3 linked regions of the Drosophila melanogaster genome follow. The protein of the gene in region 1 interacts with the protein of each later gene in a pairwise test. Each region holds a gene or a part of one and is shown in the gene's direction. Other genes may lie near its edges.

What was found. Proteins that work in one complex are often made in the same cells at the same time.
Region 2: the proteins of P32 (region 1) and CG4617 interact in a two-hybrid assay, tested with the Drosophila melanogaster proteins (2 studies listed by BioGRID).
Region 3: the proteins of P32 (region 1) and CG4116 interact in a two-hybrid assay, tested with the Drosophila melanogaster proteins (2 studies listed by BioGRID).

What each region holds. Positions count from the first base shown.
Region 1 is NT_033778.4:17,668,693-17,675,669, reverse strand, and holds P32 (P32), read left to right. Parts: upstream 1-3,029; 5' UTR 3,030-3,135; coding exon 3,136-3,340; intron 3,341-3,460; coding exon 3,461-3,805; intron 3,806-3,863; coding exon 3,864-4,105; 3' UTR 4,106-4,361; downstream 4,362-6,977. Other genes in the region: Sema1b (semaphorin 1b), read left to right, coding at 1-843, 906-1,098, 1,162-1,360; IBIN (induced by infection), read right to left, coding at 4,445-4,570; CG30109 (uncharacterized protein), read right to left, coding at 5,164-5,283, 5,342-5,488; CG30108 (uncharacterized protein), read right to left, coding at 5,864-5,983, 6,038-6,184; eIF3c (eukaryotic translation initiation factor 3 subunit c), read right to left, coding at 6,809-6,977.
Region 2 is NC_004354.4:7,100,297-7,108,231, reverse strand, and holds CG4617 (uncharacterized protein), read left to right. Parts: upstream 1-3,740; 5' UTR 3,741-3,837; coding exon 3,838-3,871; intron 3,872-3,927; coding exon 3,928-4,440; intron 4,441-4,502; coding exon 4,503-5,212; 3' UTR 5,213-5,397; exon of another isoform or gene 5,398-5,522; 3' UTR 5,523-5,677; downstream 5,678-7,935. Other genes in the region: fz4 (frizzled 4), read left to right, coding at 1-851; CG8300 (uncharacterized protein), read right to left, coding at 2,118-2,438, 2,840-3,076; CG4615 (uncharacterized protein), read left to right, coding at 7,710-7,935.
Region 3 is NC_004354.4:3,064,357-3,071,201, reverse strand, and holds CG4116 (uncharacterized protein), read left to right. Parts: upstream 1-3,639; coding exon 3,640-4,434; 3' UTR 4,435-4,587; downstream 4,588-6,845.

The sequences.
Region 1 (6,977 bases):
GGCTGCCAGTGGAGCGTGAGCAAGTGCCGAAACCACGTCCAGGACAGTGCGTTGAGGACTCTAGAACTCTGACCAGCATCGCGGTTAATTTCATTAAGAACCATCCCTTGATGGAGGAGGCTGTGCCAGCAGTGCACGGTCGTCCGCTGCTGACCAAGGTGAATCTGCACCACCGACTTACTGCGATCGCAGTGCATCCGCAGGTAAAGTCCCTAAGTGGAGCTTACTACGATGTTATATACAGTGGCACCGATGACGGCAAGGTGACCAAGTTCATCAATATACTGAGCACTCACCCGAACTCAACTGTTGATCGCCTGAAGACAGTGGTTATATCAGAGATGCAGGTCCTTCCACTTGGAACGCCAATTAGGGAATTGGTGATCTCCACTTCGAAAAACTCGTTGGTTGTGGTTAGCGATGGCAGCTTGGTTAGCGTGCCCCTGCACCACTGCTCTCACATTGTCGACTGTCTGGGCTGCTTAAGTCTCCAGGATCCCATTTGCGCCTGGGACTTACAGACACACGAATGCAAGAACCTGGCTACGAGTCAGCACAAGTTCGGAACAAAGACTTATTTGCAAAGCTTGAATAGCACCAAGAAAGCCGCTGCCTTGCTATGTCCTCATATTCCCCGAGATGCACCCGGTGCGGAAACAGTAAGCTTTGTTACCATGGCTCCACCGCCAACAGAGGAGCAGAAGCTTTTGTACTCCAATGTGGGCTCGTCGCAGGGCAATCAGCCAAGCTTGGAACAACAGCCAACTGGTGGCGATGACTTTGGTTTGAACAAGATCACCCTTACGTCCATGGATCCCGACGATATTATGCCGAATTTGAACGGTTAGTACTAATATTTATTTTCCTAGGAATATTGTGGTTTAATATTCGCATTTCGTTGACAGATCCCCAAAAGTCTACGGCCAGTGTAGATGAAATCAAATATGCTTCAACGCCCAGCTTCATGCTACTTACAACTATCGTTTTCTTTACCTTCCTTGTGGGTGGAATCGCAGGAATATGCTGTGTGAAGGCTAAGAGCCGCCTGATGGAGGCCCAAATGGATGAAAGTCACCGCAATCATTTCGGCAAGCCAATGTAAGTTTTATCTTGGAAGATGCAAATCCATATTGGACAATTCTAATTAAATGGTTTTGACAGGCAATTTAAACATCAAAATACTGGCAAAGACATCAACCTGTTAATGGGCTCCAATGCCTATACGACCACACAAAAAACACCTAATCTGGATTTAGAAAAGGATCGCAGTCATGAGTGCAAAAACTCCACGGAACATTTGGAAAAAGAGCTGCCCTGCAAAACGTCAACGCTGACAAAAGTGAAACGCACTTACATCTAGTGGCCTTGTGAGGGCAGCCAACTGCAAAATTAGTCGAATTTCTATACTCTAAAACATATTTTCGTTGTTTATGTTGCTGTTAGTTATAGTAACCCCCCACCCAATTTGCGAATAATGTAAACGACAGTCTCGGATGCGTTTGAAACGCATCCGAAAGATAGGAAGCAGAGCTGTTGCGTCTTTTTTACTTAGCTTGTATTGTAATTTAATTTGATGTAAAATTTGCGTAAGCTTAGTTTCTTTGTCAAAATTTAGTTAAATTTATTGACAACGTAGTGTGCGGGCTGCCGCAGCCTGGAGCTAACCCGAAGCATTCCGCATTCCCCTGACGTCGACCTTTGCTGTCCAAAATAGGAGTGCCGGCTCTTGGCTACGCAGCCCGATTGTGTCGCCCCTTATGTGTACTCTTAATGTATAATCTTTAAGTGCAAATATTAGAGCTGTACAAATTTAATCACATATCATGCATACCGAAATCGAACCCGAAGCGGACCAGCCCCAATTATTTCTCGAAATTCAATCGAATATTCAACAAGTATTTTGTTAGACTGAATGATTAATTATTCTATATGAGTTTGTTTTGTGGAGAACTAACAGAATGCGACAGAGACTTTAAAGCTCTATGCTTTGTGGCTAACAAAAGCGTAAAATTGTATCTAACATAAGCTCTATAAGGAATTGAACATAGAATGTAATTAAAAGTACGAACTAGGCTAAGAAACGAAGAAAACTTCTATGAGGCTGTTTGATAAGAACTGACACCGCAGCCCCCACATCATCAGATGGAAAAACGCACAAGAAAGCGAAAATAAATGAACACTGCAACAACAGCAAGCCTTATAAATAGTATAAAATCGTGTCGAATCTAGGCCTTAACGCTAAACTTGTAAGCTTTGGATGGAAATAATGAGCTTGGTTGGCAATCAACGTAAATCAGCATTTTAATAATTTTATGTTTAATTTCTAAGCTGTTGTCCGTCCCACTAAAGAAGTTGCATAAATACAATGTACAATGGCAATTTTATTTTTAAAACGTGTAAAATGCAATTTTCATCGTAATTAATATATTTTTATACGTATATGTACGCCTAATGTCTAAATCTTAACATAAGAAAGTCTTAAAAATGGAAAATCCCGATAAAAGCTATATATAAAATATTTTTAAATCTTACAAAAAAAAACGTAATGTAATGATTTCTCATATTGTGATAGATTTTATTGAAATTTTAGAAAGATGAAATGATATGCCTTTTGGTTGAAAAACAATGATATATATGACGAACGAGTCTGATTGCATGCATGATAATATTGCGTAGGAATGGGTCTTCCACTCGGAGGATCAAGAACCAGAGAAAACCCTTCATGGTGTTTAGTTTTTATTACTGTGTATGTCCTTGTAATGTGTATATTGTTGTATACATCCGATAAGCAATTCGTAAATCTAATAAAGTCGTCATTTTTTTCATAACTCAATGTGGTCTTTTAATAGGTTCGGATCTATGAAACATTGAATTTTTACAGCAAATATGGTTTGGTTATATTTATTGAAATCAATCATTTTTCCAATAAAGGCTAATTTCAAAATTTGAATAGTTTACGATAAAGCCTTTCGCGCCGAAAAATGATCGATAACTTCTGATATGGCTCTACAATACATCAGCCTCGTGATTTTCTGAATAAGATTCAACGGTCACACCAGGCACTACACTTTTGGCGTGTTGCACATTTCAGTGTTTAATTAAAGTAAAAAGCCCAGGTCGCGGTTATATAACAAAATGAACAGCCTAAGGACAGCAACCATGCGATTTGCCGCTCTGGCCAGCTCCAGTGCCGGATCTCTCGGCAAGCGCGATTTCACCCGCAGCCTGTGGCACATGACCAAAAAGCCGGTGACAGCCGGAGGATCCGATCATGTAACCGTGTTGAATCTCCACAAGCCCAGCATTAATTGCACGTGCGGCTGCAACGTGCACACCAAATGTAAGTTAACTCAACAAATTCTTACATGGGCGGTCCATGCCGCCGGTTACATAACCTCAAACGTTGGGTGACGAAATGTTGACCAAAACACAGAAAATTAAACGCTTTGTTTATATCCAGGTGAGCGGGAACTGGTGGAGTTCCTCACCGAGGAGATAGTGGCCGAGCGCAAGGTTCAAAAGGGCAAGACGGTGCCAAGCACCCTGGATGGATTCGCCGTAAAACTGACCGGCGCCGATGTGGAGCTCACCAAGCAGACGGATAAGGAAAAGGTGGTGGTCAGCTTCAATGTGAACCATACGGTGGACAGCGAGGAGGAGCCCGAAATCAACCCCAATGCTGACAAGCCGGATCTCGGTGAAATGAGAAGCAAGCCCCAGTTCGAGGTGGACATCATAAAGGGCAACTCTACGCTGTCCTTTACCTGCAGCTTCCTTCAAGGCGAAGCTCAGGAGGGCGAGTACAGTGAGTACTTTGACAGAAATCGTTTTGATTCACCGATAACACAGGTTTTACCTTTCAGACGATGTCTTCTCCATTGATGAAATGGCCATCTTCGAGGGCGAGTGGAACGATAAGGTCTACGCCGTCGCAGGCGACGTGCTTGACGGTTACTTGTACGACTTGCTGATCAACTTGCTGGAGGAGAAGGGCATCAGTCAGGAGTTTGCCGAAAAACTGTCGGACCTAGCCACTGCCCATGAGCACACTTCCTACATTGGTCTGCTGGAAAAGCTCTCCAAATTCACTGCCGGTGGCAAGTGAATGTTCGTCCCACTTAATCTTAAAGCATAAAGTTGTGTAGGTTTTTAAGTTTCTATTGTCTGCTGTCGCAGTTTCATCACCTAAAACAGTTTTTATTAGTTGTGTTTTTGGTTTAACTGTGACAGTGAAACTTAGTTTTTAAGCCATAAAACATTCATACATGTTTCAGATAAAACTATAGAAACGGTTGCCAATAATTCACCCTTTTCGGCATCAGCTTCGCTTTGGTTTTTAACAAATACAACGTTAATTCCCTAGTTTTTTTTTTTGTTTATTTTCTTTCTATGGTTGCATCGATTTTTCGTAAAGATTTTCCTGTGGGTTGAGTTTCGTGATCATTTAGAACTGCCGGAAATATGGCCTGGGATCGTAGTCACTTGGTCGGTATCCTCCCCAGTCCTCGTGGTTCTTGCAGGCGGCGCAGATGAGGAGAGCGAGGAGCACGAGGATTGGCAGCAGTTGCATCTTGATTAACGGCAAGTTAACTTTAGATTGTGGTGCTGCAGCTTTTAATGCTCCTCTTTATAGGTGAGATTGCCTCACCTTATCGTTGAAATAGTGACCTTTCTCTTGGGGAAGTACTCCGATCTGTTTATTGGGCGATGGGATTTACCATTAATGTACGACCTATATGTGTTATTGTTTCACAATAAGCAGGATTATCAGCGTGGAGGCCATGTAATGTCATACTTTGTCATTAAGATGGATTTTATATATTTCGTTAAAAAGCTTTTTTTTATACGACCAATAATAAGAACTGCGACCATTACCTAATCATAGGCTTGTATATACTTCTAAGAAACTCAAAGACGGATTCTGTCTGAATATAACATTTTTTATAGTTCGCTACTTGAACTTATTTATAAAACATTCACTAAATAATTTACATAAGGATACGAGTCATGGAACTAAACCAAAGCTGCTTCTGGTACTTGGTAGACCTAGGCTGTTCCTCCACTCTGGTGTCGGCGCTGATTACCGGTGAGGTCATTGTGTCCCGGGTTCTGGCCCACTGTGGATTCAATGCCGTTGCCAGGATGCTGGAGCTGCGTAACGGGTCAACTTTTTGTCTTGGGTTGCGTCTTTCCGCCGGAACTACTCGCATTGTCGTACTCCGAGCCGGTGCAGTACTCAGATCCGACCTCCCGCAGCTCAATCTTTTGCTCCCTCATGGCGCGCTAAAGGTCAAAGATTGGGTCAACCAGCTGGATGATGAAACTTGAAACCTGGGCTTACCTTGACGCACTCCTGATAGACCCGGAAAATCGGCGCGCAGCCCGAGTCATCCGTCTGGCCCTTAAGGAAGCCTTCCGAGAACCAGCTGTTGAAGCAGGCGTCGTACTGCTTCTTTAGCTCATTGCAATCCTCGCCAATGCTGTTCATTTGTGGAGTGAAGCTCTTTGAGTTTCAGTTATAATTTCTCTATTGAATAATAAGTCGAAAAAAATGTGAGAATGGTTTGTGTGAGGGTCATACTACAGATAAGCTATCAGAGATGTGGGACACAGCATATCGATGTACGTTTCGTTGAAACTGAACGTGCTATCGAAATTTGAATTTTCAATTCTTTAAGAACATCTAATTTATTTTAATAAAGGCACTCTGGTTATAACGAAATCAGTTGTCCATGTTTCATGATGATACTATTAACAGTCAAAGTACTACGAAATGTTTCTCTTTACAAGTATTTTGTAGCGCGTGCAGCCACCAATTAACGCTGGCGAGGATTAGGATGGCTATATGGAGCAGCTTACGGGGTCAGCTTTCGCCCGCCTGCTGCTGTTTTGCATCAGATCTATTCGCATTATTCTCCTCAAGCCCGGTTTCGAAGATCGGATCTATCTCTTGCAAATCGATCTTCTTCTCCTTAATAGCGCGCTGGGGATTACAGGTTGGTCAAACCATACGTGGTTAGGGAGCCGATTAGCTCACCTTGACGCATTCCTGATAAACCCGGAAAATCGGAGCACACGCTGAGTCATCCATTTGACCTTTTAGGAAGCGTTCAGAAAACCAGCTGTTGAAACAGGCATCGTACTGCTGCTTCAGCTCGTTGCAATCCTCGCCAACGCTGCTCATTTGTTTACTAGGTATATTTTGGTTTTAATTTATAATGCCTATTATAGAGTTCCGAAAAAATGTGACAAAGGTACGTCGAACGGTACTACTGAAGAAAAGGTTTCAGAGATGTGAGAAAAAAAGAGCATATCGATATCCGAAGTTTTGCAGAAAACGAAGCTTGTCATCGAAATTCAAATGTTATTCTTAGTTTTCTTAAATTTTCAAAAGCCAAAGTGTTAAGCCGACTAAAATAATACTCTTGTTAGTACATATAAATTTAATATTAGTTGTTGGTAAAAATTTGCAAAAAAAAGTCACTGATTTTGTGTCTCTTGTTTTTAAGGTTTCTTTTTCGGTTTTGGGTTCATACAAAATGTAGTTATTAGTATTATCATTTAACGTAATGAGCGCTGAAACAAATGTTCGTGTGACTTGGCTACAACAATATGCAATGGACATGATAAAAACAGACCTCCGACCCAGCCTGAAACCGAATCGGAGGCCTGAAAGCATGTGACCCAACGTGTTGTCCATGGCCATTCCATTTTAATAGTCGAAGTGCTACAAATTTGATCTGTTTAAGTTTTGCTGATGTTTAAGCTAACGCTCGCTAGAGAGGATGGGCTGAGGTTGCAGCAACGTCTACTCCTCGTCGATCGTTTGGACTTGTTGCTGTTGCTGCTGCTGCCTATCTTGGTTGTTCTTGTGGTGCCCGCGCTGGTTACGGTTCCGGTTGTTGCGATCCCGCCGCTGGCCGAGCCAATTGCCGCCCTGGTTGTTCTGGTTGCGGTTGTAGCCACGGTCACCGCGA
Region 2 (7,935 bases), on another chromosome or scaffold:
ATCAGTCGGATAAGGCGCTACAGATATTGGTGGCTACGCCCGTTTTTTGCTACTGGATCTTTGGCTCGATGAATCTGATCTCCGGCTATTTGGTACACTGTCGCACCAAGGAGATCCTGAGGAATAGCAATGCACTCAGCGTGCAACAGCAACTGCAACAGCTAAGCGCACACAGTAGTTCCGGCATTGGCATATTCCTTTTCATCTATGGACTTGCATGTGCCATGCTTCTGTTGGCTGTCATTTACGAGTTTGCCAACATCGATGTCTGGCTGGGATCGGGTGATACCAATACGCCACTTTGGCCATTTTTGTTGCGCGCCTTCATGGAACTGATGCTGGGCATTTGCTGTTTTGCCTGGGTACTTGGACCAAGCATTTCCACTCTCTACAAGAGGCAAGTCAGCAATGGCAAAATGGTGAAGCATACGTCTGCCGGAGCAGCAACTGGACACCTGGACGGGCATAGTAGCTCGCGTGGATCGCATGCGGCTTGCAATAGCACGGTGGTCTCCTACCATTCGGTGCGAACTTCTATGGCCAGTGTTCCGTTGCCGCCAAGTCCGTACAAACTGAAGACTTCGCCTGGTACCGGCTCTATATCGCTGAATCAGATGTCCAACTATTCGCTGGGCAGGAGCGTGCATCACCAGCAGCGCCATTCGCCGCATCATCATCATCACCAGCAGCAGCAGCATCATCAGTTCCATCCCCACCACAATCACCAGCATCACTCCACATCCTCGCATCGGCTGTATTATCCGCCAGGTAGCTATGCCTCGCAAAAGTACAGCCAGCACGGCAGCTACTATCCCCACTTGCAGCAGTATGGCAATGAGACGCTACTCTAGACGGAATTGGATTAGGTACCATTTCAGGGCAGGAAATGCTTCCTGCTTCCAGTCAATGTTCCTGCAGCAGCTGCTGTGCCAAAGTCAATCCTCTACTATAACTTAATGCGGTTTCGGGTATCGAAAGAGGCAAAGCAACTTAAATGGGTGGGGAAACGGTCCAATTTGTTTGTCATAAAACGATCGTGAGATAACGATATCGTTATTTCGATTTTAGTTGCTTTGCCTGTCCATAGAACACAATGGGGTAAACCGATCTATGTACTGTGTATATAACCCCGGAAATGTGCTCTTAGTGCTTTAGTTTGGGCCTTTATCGCGAGGTCATAGGTCATCTACAATGTATTTGTAATTGCCCTAGATGGGCTTCATATCCTATTTTCCTGTGTGTACTTAATGTTGCTCCTAATTAGTTGCCCCTTGCGTTGCCTTTTTACCATTTTGGTGTAACCAAATTCAATAATCGCTCTTGCCTTTTAGACATTAGGACTTAATGTGTGTCGCCTTTGCGTACATAACACATATATACATATATATATTTAGCATTTTTATATAAATTCTTTTTTTTTGAGTTAGAGAGAGAGAGAAACGCGCAGCAACCAAATACTGTGATACGCATGTTCATGTCTTCAAAAACAAAAAAATAAAAATGGGAACCAGAAACTAGGTTTCCAACTTTGCTGTCTTCTCCCGATGCCGAAACAAGTGTACTTAACAATCGAAAAAAAAAAACGCAATTGCAATCGTAGCCGTAATGCCTAATTGTATTCAGTGTGCCATTAGCTTTAGGGACTTAACTGAAACGAGTCAATATCATGAAATTACCTTAAAAGAGTCCTTTTCCAGCAACGAACTTTGGCGGAATTACTGAGGGTTTTCCTTCAACTTCTGCTGATTTTCGCACAGAAAAAGTCCTACTTCTAAATGTCCAACTAACTAGCTAAGAAACTAACTAACCTTTATACAATTGCGGGCTAATACGAATCGTATGGAGCCCGCGACTAACAGTATATGTATTGTATTGTATTGTATTTTATATGTGTATTTTTTTTATTATCATATATGTATATGTATAACTTATTTGCTAGCGAATAAAGTGTCGAAAAGTTAATATCTGTTTTGATTCATTTCGTTTCGCATGGTTTTTACCAAGTAAAAGAGTCTCCAAGTGTCGCCAGTACTCCATGAGCATTTTGTTTCGCCTTCCTGCCAAGAAAATCGCCACCTTGCACAACCCACCTGGCAAGTGGGTGGCCCAGTGGGCGCCTACTGCCGTGTGGGTGGCAAGGTCGCCTCGCTGCGTGTTGGTTCGCATAGGACGATGGTTTCGTTGCGATTGTTGTTGCCGCTGCTGTTGTTGTTGCTGCTACTGGTCGTGGTCGACATGGCCCGCGGGTGCCAATTGTCAAGGTCCTCGTCGCCGTGCTCCTTGGCCCTGTGGTAGTTCTCCAATTCGCTGGCATACTTGCTGCTGGTGATACCAAGCAGGTGGGCCAGCCCACCGCCCACATAGTCGATGCCGGCCAGGAATCGGTTGCCCATCCTGCTGGCCTTGTAACGCAGGCGTGGTCCCAGCGGCATTTCGCTCTAAAAGGTGGCAAAAAAAAAAAAAGCGGGCTAAATGAGTCACGCTAAATGGTCAATGAGGAGGGGGGCGGGGGGTGGCAGCTGCTTATCTTTTTCGTGGCCCTGGGCCCTGTTTGTTTACTTAAACAGCTCAAAACACACATTTTCATTGAAAGATATAAAATTTCTCACATTATTATCATAATTCGCTTCGAACATTAGTCACGTCTCGAGCTCAAAGTGAAAAGTTATTATCTGGATCAGGAGAACTGGGCTAATCTTGAGCAAATTTAACTAACTGTGTTAATCCGGACAATCCCGCTTTAAAAAAGGTAAACAAGCAATGCAGCTACATGACCATGTACTAAATGGATGGCCGGAAGTGCATTACTCCACCCATAATCCTTGCTGAATGTATGTACCTCGTTTAAATGGACGTCGTAGCATTTGTCGCCCATTTCCGCATCCGCCTCGTCCTCGCTGCCCGAGGACAACTCCTCCATGACGCCGTCGCTAAAGTACAGCATGCGCTTGTTGGACTGCAGTTCAAGGGCGCTCACATTGTCCGTCTCGGATGCACTTGCTCCACTCGCAGATGCCAGTTCCAATCCTCCAGCTGCACTGCGTACTTCGCCACTCTTGTTCCTCTCCGCTGACATGGCTATGGATAGCTCTAAACCCGATTAAGTACCGCCTCGATTGATTGACGCTGCGCGAATGTTTTTGCTTGCGCTTGAGCTTCGTTTGAATCGCAGCCGCCGTTTTGGTCATGAAAAAAGCGGACGCGGGTCAACGCCAAATGCGTATACGGCCGGCTGGGGGCCAAAATGTCCTTGGGTTGGGGGCCACCGGCGAAACGACTCACAAACGGCGAGAATCGCGTGCCATGGGGCGCTTGGCGCAGTTAGGTGCAAAGCAAATCGATAAACTAAAAGCCGCTTTCAAACAGCAAAAAAAAAAGTCGAAACAAAACAAAGGTGCGGCAGTGTGACCAGCTGATGGTTTTTGCAAGCTAACTGGATATTAATTTAGATGTATTGTAATAAAAATGAAATTGCAGTCGTATATATCGTAAATGTTTTTGTTTATAAAAATAATTAATAATATAATAAAAAAATTAAGTTGTGCGTGCACATCCTGTGCTTATAATTTAAATAATATAACAATAAAAAATATTATATTATTAAATAATTAAGTTTAATGGTTTCCTACTCTGTACAATTGACTGGTGCAATGGTTATTAACTTAGCAATATATTCAAAAACTAAAATGGTTATCTAGTGTTCCATATTTAACCATCGCTTGCAATGCATCGCGTTTTAAAGCTCTGGTCACACCAAACAGCTGTTTTGTTTGCTTCGTTTAATTCGTTCTTTTTGCAACAAATTGCATCCCAATCTTCCAAAGCAGGTATCCAAACATGGAGTCCCCAACCTCGCACCTGGTGGCCAAGGGTGAGTGGAAAAAGCGGCAGCCGTCAATGGAATCGGGGTCATAAATTCCCAATTAGATTTCCAGGTGACGGGTGTTTCGCGCAGCGGACGCGTACGCAAAAAATCGTCGAAATTGTTGGATTTTGAATCTCCGGATGAGATCGAGAAGCGCACAAGGCGTCACAGTGGCGCCAGACAGCCAGCCAGATATTCGGGCCGCGGCAGGCCATCGAATGCGCTGCGTGATCTGGATCTTGACCAGGAGATGCTCGTGGATGATGGCATTATCTCGGATAGCGAGGAATTCCATCCGGATACAACGGCAACGGTCGTGGCCATTCTGAATTCCGACGATGAACTGGACAATCTGGTGCAGGATATCGTCGATGGTGTCCAGGCGGAGGCCACCAGCCAAGAGTCATCCGTCCGTCAGAGTCTTTACATGCGCGAGAAGTCCAACAAGCGGCAGGTGCTCAAGGACGGCAAGGTGGTGAGTGCCAAGGTGCAGCGCAAGGACAAGGGCAAGCAGCGCTACACCGCCTACAGTCTGTGGGCCAAGGAGGCGCGACAGAAGGATCTCCAGGATCTAGGTAGGTTGCTACACATCTGTGCGCTCTCTATCGCTTATTGACCATTCCCCGCACGCTTGCAGACTTCACCAGCGCGACCAGACGCCTCAGCGAGCTGTGGGCGAACGTTTCCAATCGGGACAAGAACACCTGGCGGCGCAAGGCCAAAATCGAGGCGTCCAGGGCCAAAACTCGCGACAAAACCGCTGCAAACGGTGCAACCCAGCCGGCGAGCAACGGCAGCACGGCTCTGGCAGATGCCACGCAGCACGAGACGATCTTTCAGAACCGTGCGACAACAAGTCGCACTCGAAAACTGGCCGCCGATCGGCAGCAATCCTCAATAGAAGCGGCTGCCGCAGCGGCGGCAGCAGCAGCGACTGGCACCAACACACAGCGGCGCAGCATCAGCACACGAAGTGCCAGGTCGCAGGTCTCGAAGAGCGCGACGAAACAAGCGCAAGTGCACACGGATGCGGACGTCAGCGGCCGGACTGGGGGTCAGCTGAAGCAGGAGGAGGTGCAAAAGACCAGCATCGAAGTGATCGATGCGGCCGCACATCTGAAGCTGCTCGGCGAGAGCCTGACTGTGATTGGCGAGCGACTGAAGAAGCACAATGGATACGTGGCGCTATCGGGCAGCTTGTCCGTGCTCCTCGACAGCCTGCTCTGCGCCATGGGACCGCTGCTCTGCATGACCACGCAAATACCCGGCATGGAGAACAATGTGCAGTTGAGCAAAAATCTGGCCGACACGCTCGACAACATCGCCTACGTAATGCCCGGACTATGAAGTAAATTCCGGATTGCAACTGCAAATGCATACATATATATATATATATAATCATACCAGGCCGCTGCGCTTCCAGCGGCGACTAGAGTCGCCATCGGGATCTGTATGTTTGTAAGGAGTTGGCCAACCTGGAAATAGTTAATCGCATTAGATATGCCTAGTTGATAAACTGAAGCATCTAGATCGTAAGTAAAAGGTCTCCCTCTAATTGAGTTTTTTTTTTATTTGCTTCTTGAATTGAAATTCGTACGCTAAAAAGTTTAGTAGTTCACTTATTTATTTCCACTTTTTGTTTTTTGCAACATTTAAGCACAAATCATCGAAACATTGGTAGAATTAGGCAACATTAAATATCCTATAATCCTTAAGTGAAATAAATGTGAATCACAAGATTCTTATTTCAGCTTCAAATTAAGCAGGCACTTTTTATAATAAACGTAATAAATAAAGATAAATATAAAAGCTAAAAATATGAGATGATTTCTTCCTCTGCCCAAAAATCTTTATAAAAGTGAAATATTTTTAAAAATGATCTCAAATAAGCCATAATTGAAGGTTCGAATAGTGGAACTATAAGCTAGATATAAACTTTAAATATTTATAAATACGTTAATTATTTGCTTACTTTCTAGAGATGGCACTTCGCTGGTGCGCCATCGATGACTTGGCTTGCCGTTACAACGGCGAGCTATCGATGTTACATCGCCGCCCTGCCCACCACTAGCCAGTCCGCGGAAAGTAAATAAGAAGACGGACGCCAAATCGAATCTTCCCACATCCCCGGATGCAGTGCAGCAAGCTCTGGGTCCCTGAGAATCCTGCGTGGGCCTGGGATTCCGAATCCTCTTCCGCCCCGGATCCGCACGTCAGCGCGGCATCCGCATCCGCCACCGCTTCCGCCCACGCACAGCATCCGCAGCCACATCCGCGGCAGCAAAAAAACGGTGAGTTTTCCACCTGCATTTTTTTTTGGATTTTCCGGGGGGGGGGGGGGCAGCAGCTGTGATTGGGATGGAAAATACTTGTGTAGGTGGACGGTCAGGTTGTAGGGGCGAATTGCGTGACGGCAGCGCTACAAATTGGATTAGTGCGGCGATTGATTCTGAATGGGAGATGTAAACAATCTTCCTGTGCACTGAGAAAAATAACATGGTAAAGCAAGGCACAAAAAAAGATGGAAAGATTGGTTGAATAAGATAAAATAGGTTTAAGACTAAGCTGAAATATCATTAGCCAAAAAACATGAATGTGAAATGAATTACTTTAAAGGATTCTTAAGCACAATTTGTTTAGAAAATAAATTCGATTCAGTAACTGTTAAATTCAAAGCTTAAAAAGAAATGGAATACCTTGCGATTTGCAGTCCAGACATTTTCTCGCAGTGCACTAGCTCCCCGCCCGCTGTTTTGTAATTGGCAATATAAGGAATGCCCGAGGTATCTATTTTTATACCGCTTAGCATAGTCGTTATGGTGATAAATTCCGAAGGGGGGGTGGGGGGTTTGTTCGTTATGCTTTTCAACCCCGTGACCTCCCACCGCGCCCAATGGGGCATACTTTTGGGGGCGCCGGGAACTGGGAGGTGTTTTAATTCCACCATCGTTGGTTTATTGAAAAGTTGTCATAACTCAGAACAGACAAGCCAGCAAAGTTTCGAGTCCTCTCAATTGCGGGCAAATACAGGCAGATCTTAAAACTATAATGTTTCATTAAATTCACGCCGTCATTGAATCGAATATCGTGTTTTCCCGTTGGTAACTATCTAGATATATGAACTAATTTAAAAGGAAAACTCAAGGTTTTTATGTAAAACGAACGCGTGGTTTTTCTAGCAGCTCATTTTCATTTCAATTGAACTTTAAGATGAGCTTAAAACTCGCCTTTCGCATTTCAAATACCAAATAATTGGTAAACATTGCCATTTACACAATCAATCATATTATAACTTCTTCGGGTAATGAGAATGAAAACCTTTTCTTTTGGATTGAAAGTGCAATCGGATTCCGAGAGACGCCATAATCATAATAGTGCGCCCGCGGATGGGCATATGTTCATTTGTACATACATACATCTCATCCGAATCGGACTTTGAGCCATGTTCTCGACACGCGAGATAAGCGGCCGGCAATCAGAGAACTGGTTTCAATTGCGGATCGGGTCAAAATCGCCCAACCTTGGGCCATTGTATGCAAGTTGTCTGTGCGAAACTCAATGAGCATAAATTAGTCTCAATGCAGGAATGCCTCAAGTGTCCGGCCGCTCGTCCATTTCCATTGTCCAACCATTATTGCAGCTGGCCAAGCGCTGGCTTATCACTCGAGGCGAGGCCCAAAAGGCGAAGATAGAGACGAATGATAATCAATTGGCCATAAAACGGGTGAAGTGTGGATGGTGTTTGGGTTAGCCGGGTTAGTCGTCGTCTGTCTAATCGAGTGGCAATCAATCAATTTGGCAAATCGGACAACCAATTCACAATCTAATCCACAGTCTATCCACGATGAGCAACAGCGAAGGAAGCGGCCACGAAAGTGGAATCCGTACACTGAATCGCAATGCGAATGGAAACGGCAATGGAGACCTCAGTCTGATGCAGGATCTGCAGCATAAGTACGCCTTCCTCGAGAATCTCTTCAGCAAGTTCTGGAAGTCTATCATCAAGTCGAATTCCAATCTCAAACTGCAGTTGCGCAATGTCAAGTGGAAGAATGCCAAGGCGAAGCCCG
Region 3 (6,845 bases), on another chromosome or scaffold:
ACCCTTTAAAAATAAATTATTTCGTTTGCCCACCCTTTAAAATTTGTTTTTGTCGTTTGCCCACTCTTAAAACTAAATAATTTCGATTGCCCACCTTTTAAAACTAAATAATTTCGTTTGCCCATCCTTTAAAATTCATTTTTAACGTTTGCCCACCCTTTAAAAATAAATTATTTCGTTTGCCCACCCTTTAAAATTTGTTTTTGTCGTTTGCCCACTCTTAAAACTAAATAATTTCGATTGCCCACCTTTTAAAACTAAATAATTTCGTTTGCCCATCCTTTAAAATTTGTTTTTTTCGTTTGCCCACTCTTAAAACTAAATAATTTATTTTTAAAGGGTGGGCAAACGTTAAAAATGAATTTTAAAGGATGGGCAAACGAAATTATTTAGTTTTAAAAGGTGGGCAATCGAAATTATTTAGTTTTAAATGGTGGGCAAACGTTTTTTATTGGAAATTTTTATTTTAAAGAGGTGGGCTAAGGAAATTGGTTGTATTTTAAATGTGGGCAATCGAAAAAAAATTTTTGTTAAAGGTTTTTTAAAGGGTGGGCAAACGATAAAAACTAATAATAATGGTTGGGCAAACGTTTTTTGTTGATAATATTTGGATGGGCAAACGATTTACTCTCTGATTAGACCGAGGTAAACTTAAAAGCCTTATATTTCCTAAAGTATAAATTTTTTCAAAATTCTAAAGGGTGGGCAAACGTGGGCAAACGATGTTATTGCGATTTAAAAAAAAAAAATTTGAAAAAAGCGAAATTTTTGATTTTCGAAAATTTTCGAACTTTTTCGAAAATTCATATCTCAAAAACTGGACGTGGGCAAAAAAAACTAATTGGTGGGCAAACATGGGCAAAAAATGGGCAAACGATTCCAGCTTTCAAATTTCAAAAATTCGATTTTTCCGACCCCAGCTTCTTTGAGCTACAGCTGACGCCAGACACGAGGGCAAAGTCGAATCGTGATGTGATGCCATGTGGGGATCTGTGCATCTTTATTCCCCAATCGAAGGGACTCTGTTCGCATGTCTGCCCAGTTTATCCCTTTGTGTGAAGTTTTCTTTTAAAGGCGGGAGCGGGATGACATGGAATGGCGTCGCCGGGAAATTTCATTAAAACGCGTTCTGAATGAATGCATTTTTTAAAATTCCATTCAAGAGTTAGGCCCCTGATATCCATGTATAAGCCCTATTTTAACTAGTGTTTTTTAGCCTCTTTTTTTTAAAGGTTTCACTGCTATACATTTGAGTTTCTCTGTGCTATTTCACTTATTTTTTTTTTATTTTTGGCACTGCTTTACGCTTGCTAAGTGCCAAGATATCCCTAAGTTTGGCATCAATTATGCAAGTCTGTAATTCCCCCCGATGGTCTGTGCAGTTTTCCAAGCCACTAAGTACACCTACCTCCACTATCCACCCCCCCCTCCCCCCTCCCCAACGTACTTCATCATTCATTTGCAATTTCCATTAAAATGTCATTGAAATTTCACTTACAAAAATTTCCCTTCAAAAACCAAACCGAAGTGGAGCAAAAATAAAAATTGAGTAGACGAAAGAACGGAACTGAGTTTTGTATTGTGGTAGAGAATGAAATCTGGGTAAAAGCGGGAATTGGAGTTGGTTTGGGGAAAACTTTAGCTGGCAATTCTATTGCCAAACGCATTTTGCACTTCAATTGCACGTGCAAATGAAAATGGAAGGGGTGGGCTATTGGTGTGTTGGTGTGTTGCTGGAAAAGTCTGCGAAAAACTGAAAAATTCAAGCCTGTTAATATGCGTAAGTGTGTGGGGCAGGTGGGTGTTGGCTGTTGGATGTCGGATGTTGTGTGGTGGGTTGTGGGTGGTGGTTTGGCAAGTGGGTGGAATCTCCTGCGAGGAGTCCTGGCGTGAAGTTGTCGCTTTATTTTTCTTCTCGGGCTTCTGGTGCTGTCATTGATATGGCATTTTCCCCAACCACCCAAAAGTACCTCTGAGTACCTCCCAACCTCCATCCCATTTTTAGCCTCACCTTCTTTCGTTGTCGTTTTGTCGTCGCCTGTTGTTAATTGTCATTGCGTCGCTTTAAGCCGCTCAGTGGCAGGAAAATGGGAAATGGAAGCCTCACCTTGCGTGTGGGGTGGGGAAAATCGAGAGGTGGTGCCGGATAAAGTGAATCAAGAGGAAGGCCAAGGAGCAGGAAAGACTATCGGACATACTCTTGCCTTGCCGAATGTCACTGCAAATCGTTGAGCAAATTGACAGCTTTTAAGTTGACAAACAAATTATTAAGTATGATCATATTCAATATATTTATTTTCTATACGTTAGTATATATATGATATTACCAGTTCTATTTGAATGCACATCACTATAATACTATCTACTAATATTAGCTTTGAAACTAGTTTAGCCTGCGCATTATAATTCGTGTGGATAGTCCGGTTTAAAGATGATTTTAGGAGCATATGCTTCCCTTCGGTGTGGATGGATAGTTTCTCCCTTAGCCGTTGTTGTTATTGCCACTGTTGCTGTTTTCACGCGCGGTTAGCGCCTGTAATTGCATTGCCAAGTAAAGGACGAACCGCGAACAGTGAGCGACATTCGTATGTGTCTCTACGTTCGTGTGGCGCTCCATGTGTGCGCTGCACTGGCAGAAAACAATTGGTGGTTCTTAAAAGCGGAATTTGGGACATACTATCATCATATATCGCTACAATTACAAAAATATATGCTTAACATGGCTGCCCCTTTCTTTGTTTTTTCTTAGTTTAAGAGCAATCCTTTGTGTTTTTGGCCAGTGTAGTTTTGGTGCGTGTGTGTGAGCGTTGGCGTAAGTGAAATTTATTTCAACAGCCCCCGCCAGGCATTCAGCCCCAAAACTGTCGGTTGGCCAACTTAGGCGAAAAATTGAGAAGCAAGGCACCACCAGCAAGGCAGCATCGCATCAACGGCAAATGAAATGAGGCTGGCAAAAAGGGGGATTCCGGGGGTTAAATGCGCCCCAATAGGGGGCGCCATCTGCGGCACACTGGCGCCAAAGTGATGGAAACCATTCCGAATGCACAATCTCACAGCGGTTGATCCAAAAAAAAAAAAAAAAAGGAGTGAATGAAAATATGCAATTCTCAGAGAGAGAGAGAAAGCGTTAAGTGGGTGCATAAAGGGGCAACAGCGGTTTATGGGTTCAACTTTGTATCGTGCAGAGTATTTGCTCGGCTATAGAGCAGTATTCCGTTGCTAATAGAACCCTTAAAAGGTACAAAAACCAATATACGATTTGGATTTCAAATTCCCATTTATATTATTACCCACTGTGCCCGAAAAAACCCCCAACTGAAGCTGCAAGCAGACGTGTTTCTGTTGCTGATTTTAAATTTTAATTAAAGTGTGGCTCCTTGGTTTTTGGTTTTGGTTTTTGGCTTTGGTTTTGCTTTTCGGTTTCGGCTGCGACCACTTGAGGTTCACGATCCGCGGCAAAGCAAACAATGGCCTACAAGTAGGGGCACTTCTTGACACGCTCTTGCCACTTGAAAAGTCCAACTATTTGGCCTCGGGGCCAGCAAAAATGGTGCGAGAAGAATGAAGAAAGGCTTTCTAAAACCTATAACCTATATATATTGGCAAGCAAAATTCCGGGCATCATGGCATCCATGACCGATGAAAGTCGATTTCCGTCAACTCATGTTGGGCTATAAAAGTGCCAAAGATCTGCCCAATGGCACACACAGTTCGATGGTCCATCGTCCAGAAATGATCTACGCAATTCTAGTGCTCTGTCTGCTGGGCAGTTGTTGCCCAGCAATGGCCCAGAAGGTCGAAAAGGATCCGCTGGCCAAGGAACAAAATACCCGTTTGGCCGGCATCTATGTGAAGGATGGCAACGAAAATGGCCAGCTGAGATTCCTGGCATCGGGCTTGAACAGTGGCAGCAGCAGCACCAGCTCTTCAAACACCGGTATCAACTCGGCCCTGAATCAGTACATAACCAATAAGCAGGATATGCTGGAGCAACTGCGTCCCACTTCGGGCACCACATCAACGGGAACGGGAGCTGTTACGGGCACATCGACGGGAACAACAGGAACGACTTCGGGAACCGGAACTGGCCTGGTCACCACGACTTCCAATGGAGCTATCTATGTGAACCTGGGCAGTTCGGGATCCTCATCATCATCGTCTTCCTCCTCGTCGGCCACCAATGCGGCCATTAATCAGGTCATCTATGGATCCTCGCCAGTTGCCGGTCTCTTGCCGCAGATCGTTGGCCAGGCGGTGTCCAGTCGAGTGCGTCCCGGTGGCCAGAACAATAGGAGGCGCGTTCCCGCCCGTAGGCGCCGGGTCAACAAGAGGCGTGGCAGCATTAACAACAACAATCAGCGACGTCGCCGGCGTGGCAACAAGCGGGGCAAGAATAAGGCCCAGGTGATGGTGGTGCGACCAAATCGCGGTTGAGAAGAGGATCCACCGCCTTTCTTAGTTAAGCGAAAAATTACTTTTTTTTTGCCCCCCAGCCAAGGAATTTTTTTTTTTTTAATGATTACTATTAGTATGCGAGAAGGCAACCTTATTTATTTATTTAAATGATTGAAAGCAATTACACTCTGCAACCAAGGTGGTTTTATTCGAGGTCATTATGGCAAAGGCGTGAAATGGATAATTAAATTTTAGCTTTGGTATAACATGCATATTTCATGGACATCATTGCTCTCACCTTGTGTATGTTTTCCAATCGACCAAATTTGCGATTGCAAAGCCTCAAATTTGTGTAGGCCAGTGGATTTGGCGTAGTTGCACTAATTTATGGGCCAACTGGTGTTCATGTTCAAAGGGCCGCCAGTCGGTGTGTCTGCGAGGTGCGCTGGCCCGTTTAGAACCCCCTTGGTGAGCCCCTGGTCAAGTGCAAGACAAACGGTCTCCGGTCGGCTCTGCATGCGGCGGTCAATGTCTTGATAAATGTCTGCAGGATGGCGCCCGGGGAGTGGCGCCCGTTGCTCCTCGTCCTGGTCAGCAGGACGACCCCTCGTGCGGCGCCGCTGTTCCATTTCGCGAACCTCTAAATCACCGTCACGTGTCCGGGCTGTGTATTATGTGCTCATGACTGTAATGAGCCTGTAAGTGGACCTAATCAGTGTCATAATAATAGAAATTAATCACTGCAAGGCCATAGTGGCATGGGTGGTGAAAAATTGTGGAAAGGGGCGTGGAAGGCAAGAGGCCGAATGGAGGAGGCGTGGGCGCCCACCTGCAGCTGCTGGCAAAAGTCAAAGTTGAACTTGCTGGCATTTGGCTCTTGTGCGGTTTTGTGCAGCGCTTTGGCGCACATACTTTGTAAATGTTTTGCAATGATTTGATTTGAAATTCATTTGAATTATTGCTTGCTTCCGGTTTCCGGTGCCTTCAAAATACTTTCCTGTTTCCTTTCCACCGCCGCCGCCGCCGCCCCCACAAACCCTGGCATAGCCTCTCCCCCATGGTGAGGATATGGAAAAGGACCCTATGATGTACGACCAACTTGGTTGGCCTTCTCTTTTGCGTCTCTTCCTGGGGAGTTTATTAAGTACTGCTGCCAAGCAAGCATACACTGAAACGTGCAGACGACTGAGATTTGATGTAGTGAAATTGGTATGCAATGGTTATTTGTTGTGCTGTTTTAACAGAATTATAATCTATATGCAAAACATACCCCAAAACGCAAGTCCATTTCCATTTCTCCATTTCTCGCAGTGCATTTGCATAGACCAAATAGCAACTGGTGTGTGAGTGTGCGGAACTTTGTTAATATGCAAGTGAATGGACATTTCCGGTACGGACAAAACGTGCCATGTGCCAGGCCAAAAACCGAGAGCCAAGGTCCTGGGCAAGCCCGCGAAACCTTTTGGGGGAAAATCTGTAGTGGGCAGGGGGGAGCCAGGGGTGGGGTCTTACGGTTTAATTGGTGGAGGGGGGGGGGGAGTGATGGTTCGGTGGTTGGTACACAGGTTCTCAGCCCAAGGACATGTGCTGTGCTAAAAGTCAAAATCACCATCCACTGCCCTTGGAAGCACTCACCGGTTCCCTTTGGTCTAGCACATTTCGCTGCCCTACAAAGACGAAACTGAAAAGCTTGGGCTTTAAAATTAGCTAATTTTATATTATATACTATATACTATATTAATATAAAAGAATATATACATACTATGGAGCCGAAGAAGAAGTTAGAGGGCATTCCGAAAGTCGCCTACTTGTGATTAAAAGTTTACTTCTCCTCGGCTCCGCTCATGTGTAATTTTCAATTAAAATGATTTGAGTAGACAACTTTGAACGCTTCTGGCAGTGAGTCTGCCACTGAGTTGGCTTCTGATTTGGACTCGGGGATACGGATAAGGGATACGGGATGCGGATTTTGGACCTCAAGGAAAGGGCCACAAATGCGGGGGAAAATGGAATGCCACAAATACTTTTCGAGGCAGAAATCATAAATCATGCAGCAGGCAAAGACACGAACCGCATTGGAAATCGACGTCGGAGACCCAAACTGCGGCGTTGACACACGGACATCGGGCGGGATATCCGAAAATATATACATAAATACATTTAGCCGTGTGTGTGTGTGTTTGTGTGTGTGTGTATGGACATGGACGGACGACTAAGTGGGCCACAAGTTTCGCTTCACTTTTGAAATAGTTGCAAAGTGGAAAAGTTTGGCATGCAGAGTGTCCACGTCTGTGGTCAGGAAAGGGCATAATTGTGGGGCATCCTGCCCAGGATCCAAGGATCCAAGGATCCAGGGATCCGGGGAATGTGGGAGTCAAAGAATGGGTGCGTGAGTCACGTGCCAGAAAGCACCGGGATTGCCAGCGATAATCATGACACTTTGTGTGGCA